Linked DNA regions of Arabidopsis thaliana. The protein of the gene in region 3 purifies or fractionates together with the protein of the main gene of each other region. This does not show direct contact. Each region holds a gene or a part of one and is shown on either strand. Other genes may lie near its edges.

Region 1 (3,753 bases), on a different chromosome or scaffold from region 3:
AGCAAATGTTCAAGAAAAGGAAGAGAGCATAGATTTTTGAAGTAAATTAGAAAGAACCACAAGAGCCGAGGATTATTTAGACAAGTCAAACGATAAGAAGACAGTAAACTACCTATAATCAAAGCAAGATTAAAAAAAGCGAGAGAAGTAGCTTACGTTCTGTACAGCCAAAGACATAAACCTTCTTCCCATAGAGCTTTCCTCCTTCCTCCAATGCTTCCTGACATACAAATGAAGAAAATATCAGACTCTCGTCCACCCCGGAAAACATGTCAACTAAACAATAGAGAACGTAATCCAAACAACTTACTTCAAGATTTTGGAAATCCCAATTGAATTCATAAAGTGCATCTAATTGATCCCACTGCCATCACAATGTAACAAACATAAGCAAGGACTATCAATGGAAACAGTAGCTCTGATGTTGAAGCCAAATTCCACAAAAACAATATACCTCAGTTCCCACTGGAAATGCAACCTTCCACAAATCCTCCTGAAACACACAAAACAAGCGCACATGTTAATTTGCAACATACACAGAAGAAATAAGACCAGAAAAACAACCTCTTTTATTAGAACTTAAAAATACTGAAGTATTGAAGATATTTTTGATAATGAGATAACACCACACCACTCATTTGGAATGACATACTATATCTGACACAATAAGTATAATGGCGCACAATTGCTCTCATAGATAAAGCCACCAACAAAGTTATATCTTGTGTATCGTTCTTGCAACCAAGAACACTAAACAGATCCACATTATAAGTTAAGCTATAAGATGAACATACAGGTCCAAAAACGTATCTCATTGTTGTTTTCACAGAGAATTTCGAGTCATCAAATTAGCATAACTAACCCCATATTGCATAAGTGCTGAATCCTAATTATAATTACATAATATCTCAAGCTAAGGTTAACAAAAGCATACCAGACTACGCTTCTCCTCGAAGTAGACAGGCTCTTCCTTAACTTTGGCCGCTCTCGGTTTCTTAGCTTTCGGAACAGGTTTCTTCTCATCTTTAATCTCAGTATCCTTCTTCGTAGCCCTCTTTCGTTTACCACCACGACGAGCAACAGGTTTCTTCTCAACTTCTTCCTTTACTTCCTCAGCTTTGACCTCATCTTCCTGATTCTCCTCATCCTCCTCTAAGGAATCAGGTTTCGCATCCTCTTCTTCCTCTTGATCTCCCTTAGCCTCCTCTTCTTCCCCATTCTCCTTCACCTCGTCGACGACTTCTTCCTCATGCTGTTGACTCTCCTCCTGCGTCGTCTTCGTCGTCTCCTCTATCACCTCATCGTTCTGAGTCTCCGCAACAGCAGCTTTGCGACCTGCTTTCGAAACACCCTTTCTCTTCGCTCCTTTCTTCATTGCCACAGTACTCTACCAACGAATTGAGCAACCCTACTGGTTTCGCCGGCGAAGATAGAGAAAGAGAGAGAAAGCTAGGGATTGATGGCGGTGGATCCGGAATTTCGAATTTTTTTTCCGGAGGAGACACAAATTTGGGGGTTTTGTTTTTTATTTTATTTTATCTTTTCTTTTTGTCCAAATGTGTTCTACTTATTGCGTGATTTCAACGAGCGCTCTTCATGAAAAGGAAATAGGGTTTTTGATTTTTTCCCCCAAATTATTTAGGCGCCGTTTGCGAAAATATTATTGTAAGGCCCAAAATTCATATATAGCTTTTGGCTAATTAATTATTTTTTGAATAATATGATAATTTAATATTTTTCATCATGTTTAATATTTTCATCATGTTTACAGATAATTTGCAAGCTATTTAGGGAAATTTGTTATATTAGAAGAAGTTTTTTTTTTTTTTTTTGCTTTGATAACATTTGTTATATTGTGGACACAAACTTTTTTGAAGATATTAAATTTATAAAATTGAATTAAGTATATCAAATAATAATTTGAAATTACATTTAATCTTTATAGTCTAAGAAATTCATACGGACAATATCCGTCCAGATGCGAAAAAGACAACTCAACAACAACAACTAAACCCATGGTGACGAAATAAAGCCCAACGTTATTTCCCATATCTTACGAATCCTTAATGGGCCTATATAGTATATTTGATACCAATTACAGACCCATGATGGGGATAAAAGCCTCAACTACTGAACAAAGATGATCGAAGCACATATACATTACTAGTCTGATTTTGTAAGTGGAATCCGATTTAAATATTTTGAATCAACGTATGTAAAATGATATCAATACATAAAAATACATCAAAACACATCAAATACTGAAATACATATTTTAATACTGAGATTTCAAAAGTTCAAGGCAGGCATGTGTAACTCATATAAGATCGGATTGTTTGTGAGTGTAAACAACACAATCTTCTAGTGGAAGTGCGATACACGTGAGGATGTAACCTTTTTGAATCTGCTCTTCCTCAAGAAAGGACCCTAGTGACTGATCCACTTTCCCTGACACCAACTTTCCACAACATGTCCCACAAGTCCCTGACCTACACGAGTATGGCAGTTCAAGTCCCGCGTTCTCCGCAGACTCAAGTATGCAACAATCTTCGTTTCCTTCTATCTCTTGCTCCTCACCTTCCGGACTAATCAGTTTCACTTTACGAGACTCTTTTGCAAACACCTTCCCAAAATTGCCTCTCGACGATGACAAGCCAAAATAAGTCGTGTTATTGAGCCTGGTCGTAAGTTGAGCTTGTGATGGTGATATTCGTGATATTACAGGGATTTTTATGATGTAAGAGGAGTAGAGTACTTGATCCATCAATTATGCTTTGGCTTTTGATGAAACTATAATGTAAGAAAAACGAATCAAACCAAATGTATATATGTAGTTATAGCTCAAACATCAGCCCAAACCCTTAAAATCATTCATGTGACACGTGCATAGGGAGGTGCTACGTGTAGTTTATAGGCTTGTAGCTCACAAACCTCCAAACCAATGTGGTGGTGTTCCGATTTTGCATATGACGCAAAGAAGGTCAAATTAACTCAAATGATAGTAATGGGGTTATTTTCAATAGTTAACGCATAAACAGAGGACTTTTCGTGAAATATTGTTGTTTCTAAACTTGACGCAAATTTTCTCGCTGACACAACTGAAATCCATTGTTATCGTCGACTCGAAGCTTAACAATGGTTTCTGACGAATAGAGCTAAAACCATTCACAATGTTATTCTCGCCTTCGAAATTGCAATCACCCCAATCTCTAATCTCTTGGAATCCGATTCTCCATAACGGATTCATCGATAAAAATCTCTCCTTTCGCCGACGGGTCACTCTCCGGCTAGCTTCACCGATTTCACGATTGACCAAGGGTTCAGACTCAATCGCATCTTCTACTCCCTCTGCATTGTACTCGAATCCTCAGGAGCCATCGATCTCTTCCCAATTAACATCGTCCGTGGGACAGCCTCCTCTCCAACTCTCTCAATGGACATTCACACAGAAGCACTTCGTCTTGCTCAATGTCGTCGCTTGCGTGGTAAGCCTCTCTTGGATTTAGGTTTTGATTCAAATTGCTCAATAAAGATCTGGACTTTATGTCACTTTGTAAACAATCATCATCATGGGTTCTGTTGCAGACAGCAATTTCAGCATCGTGGCTCTTCTTTGCTGCGATTCCTACTCTTCTGGTTCGTTCTCCAACATTTTGCTTTTACAGATTTCTTCAACCCTTTGATGGATTTTGAAGGTTGATTTGAGTTTTACTTTGGAATGTTGAGAAAGGCTTTCAAGAAAGCAGCTGAGTC
Region 2 (3,753 bases), on a different chromosome or scaffold from region 3:
AACAAACATAAAACAGAGCAAAAGATCATTACCCCTAAACAAAGAGTTATCCCTTCAATCGCCAAAATGTAACAATGAAAAAACTAAAATGTCTTCCTAAATTACCAAATCCATATGACAAATCTGATCTAAACCAAACAGTTAAGCTGTTCATCATCATATGCAAAGGTAGATACACAGAAGCGAGCGGTCAACAAATTTAGGAACGAGCCCTTTTGTTGCTGCAAGAAGGGCACTTGTATTGCTTGATGTGCTCAGCTCTTGCTGGTGTTATCTTAACACACTTTCCATGAAACCACATCTCACAGAGGTCACAGCAAATCCAGAACTCATCAGCTGCATAGCTCTCACCACATGCTCCACACTGTGTTTCACCTTGCTCATCCTCATCCTCCTCTTCCACACCTTCCTCTTCCTCCTCCTCATCATCTTTCGGCTCCGGCTTTGAGAACTTGGCACGGGATTCAGATCCTCGCTGTAACGTGAGACAAAGAAACCAGAATTAGTACAAGGATTAAACTGTAGAGAAGAAGTACAGTGGAAAACAAAGTCTCTACCTTGGAGCTTGATTTGGATCTGTTGCTGCTGTTGTTGGAAACAGAGGACTTATCTTTTCCTTGTTTCTTAGCAGTGCCAGCTACAACCTCAAAGATTGTTGGGAGGTCATTCACCATATTGAAAAGCCTCTTCCTGTAACAAATGTGAAAGAACATAAATCACAGAGAGCTACATAAACGGTGAAGGAGTAGAACAATGAGTGACTGAGAGGCTTGCATCTATATACCACCAAGGAACATAGATGTAAGAAGATTAGACTTAAAGAGGAGAAGGATATACATACCTATCAGCTTTGTCAAATCCAAACCTGGCTCCAAAAAAGAAAGCAACAGCAAGAAGCCAAGCATCACTGTGGACAGCAACAAGGGACAACCAATCCTTTTCCGCCATCCCGTCTCTGGCAAAATTGATACCCAAGACAGGCTCTGGGAGCTCAGGAGGAACCTCTTCAGCTGGCAAATTCACTTCCCAGTGCTCATTTGGATGTCCGTAAAGGCAAAGGTTCTCCTTTTCTATAATCACAAAAGGAAAATGATGACAATTGTTCAAAAAACCTTAAATTAAAACCAAGTCAAACAAAAAATCAACACTTTGACTCCGCTCAAACTCTACACTGCAATTCAAATAAATCTGACAAAATCACAATTTTATCCACAAAACAGAGACAATAGAATCTATGAACCCTAAATGCTTCACTGAAACAACAACAATCAGATTGAAACAAACCACAACGAAGCAAATTCAAAAAACCAAACTTTCGCCGGCGAGAATCAATCTCGAAGGAACAACAACACTCACAAGGATCACAAACAAATTTTTTCTTTAGTTGAAAACACAATCGAACCAAGTCAAACAAAAATCAATACTTTCGACACTGGAGCGCAATTCAAATAAATCTAAACAAAATCATAAACAGAAAAGAGAGAGAGAGAGAGACTATGAACCCTAAATGCTTCACTGAAACAACAACACTCAGATTAAAACAGAGCAAAACATAGAAAAATTCAAAAAACACAAATAAAAATCAAAACTTTCGTTAATTCAAATCAAATCTCAAAGGAACAACAACACTCACCGGGATCACAAAGTCGGAAAAACTCCTGAACATCTGCACACACAAAAGGGTAATCTCAAAATTCAGTTTTTTTCCGGTGACAAAACTGAGATAGTAATAAGAAGAAAGAAAAAACAAATTGTTACCAGTGGTTAAAGCCTTAATCATGCCAGCTCTACGACCCTTAAAATCCCTAAACACCTCTTCAACAGTGCGTGGATTGTACGCGCCACCTGCTTCCATCTTTCTTACAGAACAAACAGCTTCGAAGGAGACAAGACAAGAGTGAAAGAGAGAGAGAGAGAGAGACAAGTATTTGACCGGCGCTGAGAGAATTTGGGTTTGCGAGAGAAAGAAAGATGTGAAAGAGAAAAAGGGCGGACCCAAAAACAATTAAGCGGATTTAATAAGATGAGGAGGAGTCCGCAAAATGAATCTGATGAGGAGGAGAGCACGATAAGTTTTATCTTTCATCCTCTTAGATCTTGACGCGTATCTCCTGATTTCTGTTGTTGTATCTATGGATATGTTTTTAATTGGATTGGCTTATTTTTCGGGTAATAGATGTTTATCAAGCTTGAAATTAAGAGTTTTGTGTTAATGATACATTAAATTGTAATGGTTGTAAGATTGCAGAAAGTTTTATTAGATACTCTGTTTTTTCGAAACAAATGTTCGGTAATCTGGTATCTGCGAAATAAATTTGACCGTTTTTCTGTTTTTCGCGGTAAATGTTCGGTAATCTGGTAACTCAGAAATAAATTTGACCGTTTTCTATATTTTCATTCGCGCTCTTTTTGAACATGGTAAGGGATACATACTTTATTTTAGATTAGTGAGAGGTTTCGGTAAGTGTTTATCAAATATTCAGTTTTTCGCTTTAAATTTCGGTAATCTGATATTTAAGAAATAAGTTTGACTTTGTTCTACATTTTTTGGTTTCGTTTTGTCTTTCGCGCCAATTTTTGGTATTCTGGTATCTGAGAAATAAGTTTGACTGTTAATTTTATTTCTTCACTCGAGGTCTAGTCTTTTTTTTAAAAGAGTAATAATAGTCTGGTTTTGATTAATGAGAGCTTTTAAATAGTCTTACTAGTTACTAGATACCTTTTTCGCACCAAATTTTTGGTGATCTGGTGTTTGATAAATAAGTTCAATCTCTTCTCTTTTTCAAGGTCTTTTTGATTTTTTAATAAGTACTATGCATTATTAATATTTTGGAAAAAAGTTTATTCAAAATACTTGGTTCTTTCGTGTCAATCATCCAAATATATCGATAACCCATATACAATTTGATAGATCGAACTATACACTAGGAATAAAATTGTAGTTTCATGGATTTCATGAATTTATGAATCATATCTAATTCCAATATAGTAAGATTTTGAAGTAGTGTTATCTATAAAATCATGATTCAGTCCTCAATTTTGATATTTTATGTGGATAGAAAATCTTAACTTGTAGGTAATTTGGTGAGAGTGAGACTGATAAAAGAGAATAAGAACTATGTTTTACTGAACAAAGTACTTAAAGCAATGAATATATTTTTGTTTTCTAAATTGAATTGAAGAGACACGGAGAGAGTAGTAATGTTGATAGATTCAAATGTCAAACACCTCCTCTAGAATCCTTAATCTTTGTATGAGGTACACTTCAAGATCTTCAAGAATTCTTTTGATTTTTTTTCTAAATCAAATGCAACGTTAAATTTGACTCTAGAAAATGGGCTTGAAGTCTCCAAGCTAAACTCATTACATGTCACACAGACACGCAAGATAGTGATCTGATGGCTTTATTTGCCCAAACTGGATACAAAATCCCAATACCATCAATAAGTTCTGTAATAATGCAAGCAAGACGATAAGCGCATTGAACTATATTGCATTCAAAGATTGTGATATGCATCAGATGTCATTGAATATTTCTCAATTTGATCTTTTGATAAAGATCCCATGAAATCATTGACGGTTGCATAAAAATTCTTAATGTTTTCGCTAGTTATTATTACATTCACAATTAACAAAATTCAAAATTTATATAAATCGGCTCATCTTCCACTTTTCCAATTACTCATATGTATATGATTTTTCCACAATTTGAATTAAGGTAACTTCTATTATCGTCTTGATATAATTCTCGCT
Region 3 (3,753 bases):
ATCAGTTCATAAACAGATTCAAGCTCAGAATGAAAACATCAAAATATGAAAATGATAAAAGTGAAATTACCTCAAGGTCATCAAGCTCAAGCTGGTCTAACCTTTCCGCCTCTGATCTAACCCTATCAGAGTATCTGCCAAGTGCAAAACAATAATGAGAGAGGAAACACAACTTTGAGGTAACTGCATTTTACCATCGCGTTCACCATATAGAAGCCTTAGCTTTTTAATCAAAATGCTTAAAATGGTAGACTACTGAAGAGAAAGAGAACATTTCTATTACCTCAAATATAATTCCATGAGCCGGTCAATCTTCTCAAATTCATTCTCCACGAATTTACTCAACAATCGATCTCTCCTAGAACCCCTTAATATCCCAGCTGAAAGATACAGCCAACAAACAAGAAAACCAAGAAATTAACATCAAGAACATGCAAAGAAAACACGTCACTTTTACTGAAACATATGACTTGCCTTCTTACCAAATAATGACGCAATCAGGGAAATAACCCGCTCCTCTAGCTCCTCCTTATACCGCTCCCTTTTGATTCTCTTGTTTAGCGGAATCTAAACATTCAAAGAACTAAACAAAATCAATAGACAAGAATGCCTCAGAATCGCCTCTTTCACATGACTTTGATCTACTACGCAAGCATTTACTAACAAAAGATACAGACTTCAATACCCAATAAGTCACTAGACAGTTCATAAAGATGGTAAAAAGAAACGGGATTGAAAAACTTGCCTTACCCATGAAAGCAGCAAATGCTGTTTTCAGTCCCATAACATCCACAAACCTCTCACATGCTGGTGGATAATTGGTCATGGCGAAGTCTAGAGCTCGAATAGCAGACCCGTAAGCATATTTCTTCTGTTTCATGATAATAATCATCAGCTCTACACCTTCCGCATTCACAAACCTCTCCTTGTTCTCCAATGGCATCAAGAGGCAACACAAACAATCAAACAGATTCTCTAACATCTCTTCCTCATCAGGAGTTTTAGGATCCTTTGACTTATACATCGCCACACCTTCAAGCACAGCGTCTACACCATTCATCTGACCTAGCCGTTTCTGATTCGCCGTACTGTTTTGCAGCAGAATTGCAAGAATCTCAGACGCGTACTGCTTGATTCCTTCGAATTCCCTCACCTTAATCTTCGTCAGAAGCCACCGCAATAGCTTCGTCCTTTCACACACCAATTGAGCAACAGCCGGCTTTACTTCCACCAAATTCTCAATCACCGTCAAAGTTGCGTATATAGCCGTAGCTTCGTCAGGGTCAGCCTCAGACAAACGATTCATATTCTGAACCAAGAGCTCGAGCACATTGTTTTCAACCAAGGCGTCGACTAACACACGCGCAGGCTCATCGTTATCCTCTAAGGCATCTTCGTCAGTCAGATCCTGAAGAAGCTGAACAACATCGTTGGCGATATCGGAGTTTTCATGAGAGAGGAGATTGACAATCGAAGGAACCGTATTGGAAGCAACAAGGTCCGGGTAAAGTTCCGGAGCTCCAGCGAGCACCTTGAGCTTCTGAAGATCGTCGTGTAGGTCAACCTCTGAGTCAGCGAACTTTTCTGGATTCTCCACATACTTGAGACGAGCAGCTATGTTGTCTCTAAGACGCCGCTCGAAGGAGAGGACAAGCTTTTTTAGGGTTTTAAGATCAAGCGCTTCTACTCCATTATGCGAAGACTTCTCAAGTGCTTCAAGGAGAGAAAGATCTACACCATCTGAGCCTCGATACGCCGTCGGCTGCGAGCCATGTCCGGCGTCGATTGCTTTCCGTTTTCTGGTCTGATTTGAGACTTCCATGGCTATACTCTCTCTTTCCGTCTGAAACTAAGATTTTTGGTTTAAGGGATGAAATAATGGTGACGACTGACGAGTCTGAATTTTAATTTGGGCTTTTTATTAAATGAAGAGTCAATGTCATTTGAGGCCCAATGGTGTAACGGTGTCGTTTAAGATTTAAGCAATTAGAATTTAAATTTCTAATAAACTATATTTTTTCTGGGGTCAAAAACTCAAAAGTCAAAAGATCAATGTCTTTATGGAACTTTAAAAAAGTTATGATGTTATCCAAGGAAGATGGAAAACCCTACACACTAAGCAAAAAATAAGATCTTTCTCTCTCTGACGACGCAATCCCTAATTTCTGGTTCTCCGTTCGTCGGCGGAGAAGATGGGATTCCTTTCCAATAAAATCTCCAGAGACGATGTGAAACCAGGCGATCACATCTATTCATGGCGTCAAGCCTACATTTACGCTCATCACGGTTCGATCTCACTCTTATCTCTCTCTTTGTAATTCCCTTTTTACAGAGAGATACATACATTGTACATTCATGATGATACGAGATGATTCAATTTCCAATTTTAGCTGTCTCAATTTGATTATTTGTGCAACTGGTTAGATTTTGCGAAAATTTCAAATTTGGGGGAAATAATGTGATTCTTTCGTTTGGATCCAAATTAGTAGAAGGTTTAGGAAAATGTGATTTTAACAGCTATTCTCTGTTACTAGGCTAGATTGTAATCCTTGAATTTATCTTTTCTTTGTTATGTAATCTATCACGTTAACTTGTATGTGTGTGTGATTTGCAGGAATCTATGTAGGTAATGGACAAGTCAACCATTTTACTCGTGGTGATGGTCAAGAGACTGGAACTGGGACTTTCTTGGACAACATCATTGTTAGTTCATCTCATAATCATGGAGACAACCCATGTCCTGATTGTGGAGATCGATCCAATCTTGGCGGTGTTATATCTTCCTGCCTTGAATGTTTCCTTGCCGGAGGTGATCTCTATGTCTTTGAGTACAGTGTTTCCCCTGCTATCTTTCTTGCCAAACCTCGAGGCGGCGTATGCACTATAGCATCTTCAGATCCTCCAGAAGAAGTCATCTATCGAGCAAATTTTCTCTTGCAAAATGGTTTTGGTGTGTACAATGTCTTCAAGAACAACTGTGAAGATTTTGCCATCTATTGCAAAACGGGTTTGCTAGTGGCAAACACCGACGTGGGAAGGAGTGGTCAAGCTGCTTCAATTGTTGCAGCTGCCAGTGTTCTTCTTTCTTCACCACTCAGGTTTGTAGCAGGTTTTGGTGGTTTGGCTGTGGCTGGCTATGGCATGTACTGCACCAGTCGCTTAGTTTCAGATATAGGCATGCGATGGGATGTGAGCAAGGTGCCTGTTGAGAGACTAGTTGCTGATGTGGCTTGTATGTCGGACATGGAAGCTAAACCAGAAGATGAGAAGACTACTTAATCCAAAACTGCTCACACCTGTATTACCATACTGGTTGATCTCTGATTGTAAATGTTGTGGCGGAAGTAAGAGAATCTGCTTCTGCTGTATCGTGTTGTGCAACATTTGTTTATGTAATTACGAAACTTGGCTTTTGATTAACACTGAACTATGATGCTTCATTTTATTATATACAATAAGATTGAAGATAATGAAACTATGATACATTTCCACCTTCATAACAAGTTTAAAAATGACGTAAGAACTCAAAGAGTGTAAGTAAGAACTCAAAGAGTGTCTCAGTCGTTGCCTTCGGGAAAGTTCACCAAGTATATAGCGACCAAAGTCACTGCTGCTCCGACCAGTTGCAATGAGGAGAAAGTCTCATTGAGGTACAGATACCTGGTCAAACCAATAATATCAGAACTATGAACCAAATGACTAAAGAAACTCTATTAAAATCATGGATTTATGGGTTGCTGATTATGGTCTTAC

Evidence for each region.
Region 1: the proteins of AT3G02710 (region 3) and AT5G10010 fractionate together in Arabidopsis thaliana (co-fractionation; one large-scale study listed by BioGRID). This does not show direct contact.
Region 2: the proteins of AT3G02710 (region 3) and AL4 fractionate together in Arabidopsis thaliana (co-fractionation; one large-scale study listed by BioGRID). This does not show direct contact.

Annotation. Positions count from the first base shown.
Region 1 is NC_003076.8:3,125,720-3,129,472, reverse strand, and holds the start of AT5G10010 (myosin-H heavy protein), read right to left. Parts: upstream 1,646-3,753; 5' UTR 1,376-1,645; coding exon 935-1,375; intron 494-934; coding exon 455-493; intron 365-454; coding exon 311-364; intron 221-310; coding exon 157-220; intron 1-156. Other genes in the region: FD4 (ferredoxin 4), read right to left, coding at 2,318-2,764; AT5G09995 (uncharacterized protein), read left to right, coding at 3,171-3,485, 3,586-3,636, 3,731-3,753. UniProt on the Arabidopsis thaliana protein: Essential protein required for basal thermotolerance, especially during heat-induced chromocentre decondensation, thus regulating transcriptional gene silencing (TGS).
Region 2 is NC_003076.8:9,158,367-9,162,119, forward strand, and holds the start of AL4 (alfin-like 4), read right to left. Parts: upstream 2,128-3,753; 5' UTR 1,856-2,127; coding exon 1,759-1,855; intron 1,667-1,758; coding exon 1,634-1,666; intron 1,071-1,633; coding exon 842-1,070; intron 691-841; coding exon 558-690; intron 476-557; coding exon 200-475; 3' UTR 1-199. UniProt on the Arabidopsis thaliana protein: Histone-binding component that specifically recognizes H3 tails trimethylated on 'Lys-4' (H3K4me3), which mark transcription start sites of virtually all active genes.
Region 3 is NC_003074.8:581,253-585,005, reverse strand, and holds the start of AT3G02710 (ARM repeat superfamily protein), read right to left. Parts: upstream 1,894-3,753; 5' UTR 1,823-1,893; coding exon 746-1,822; intron 568-745; coding exon 483-567; intron 381-482; coding exon 284-380; intron 135-283; coding exon 71-134; intron 1-70. Other genes in the region: AT3G02700 (NC domain-containing protein-like protein), read left to right, coding at 2,193-2,286, 2,615-3,279; AT3G02690 (nodulin MtN21 /EamA-like transporter family protein), read right to left, coding at 3,558-3,660.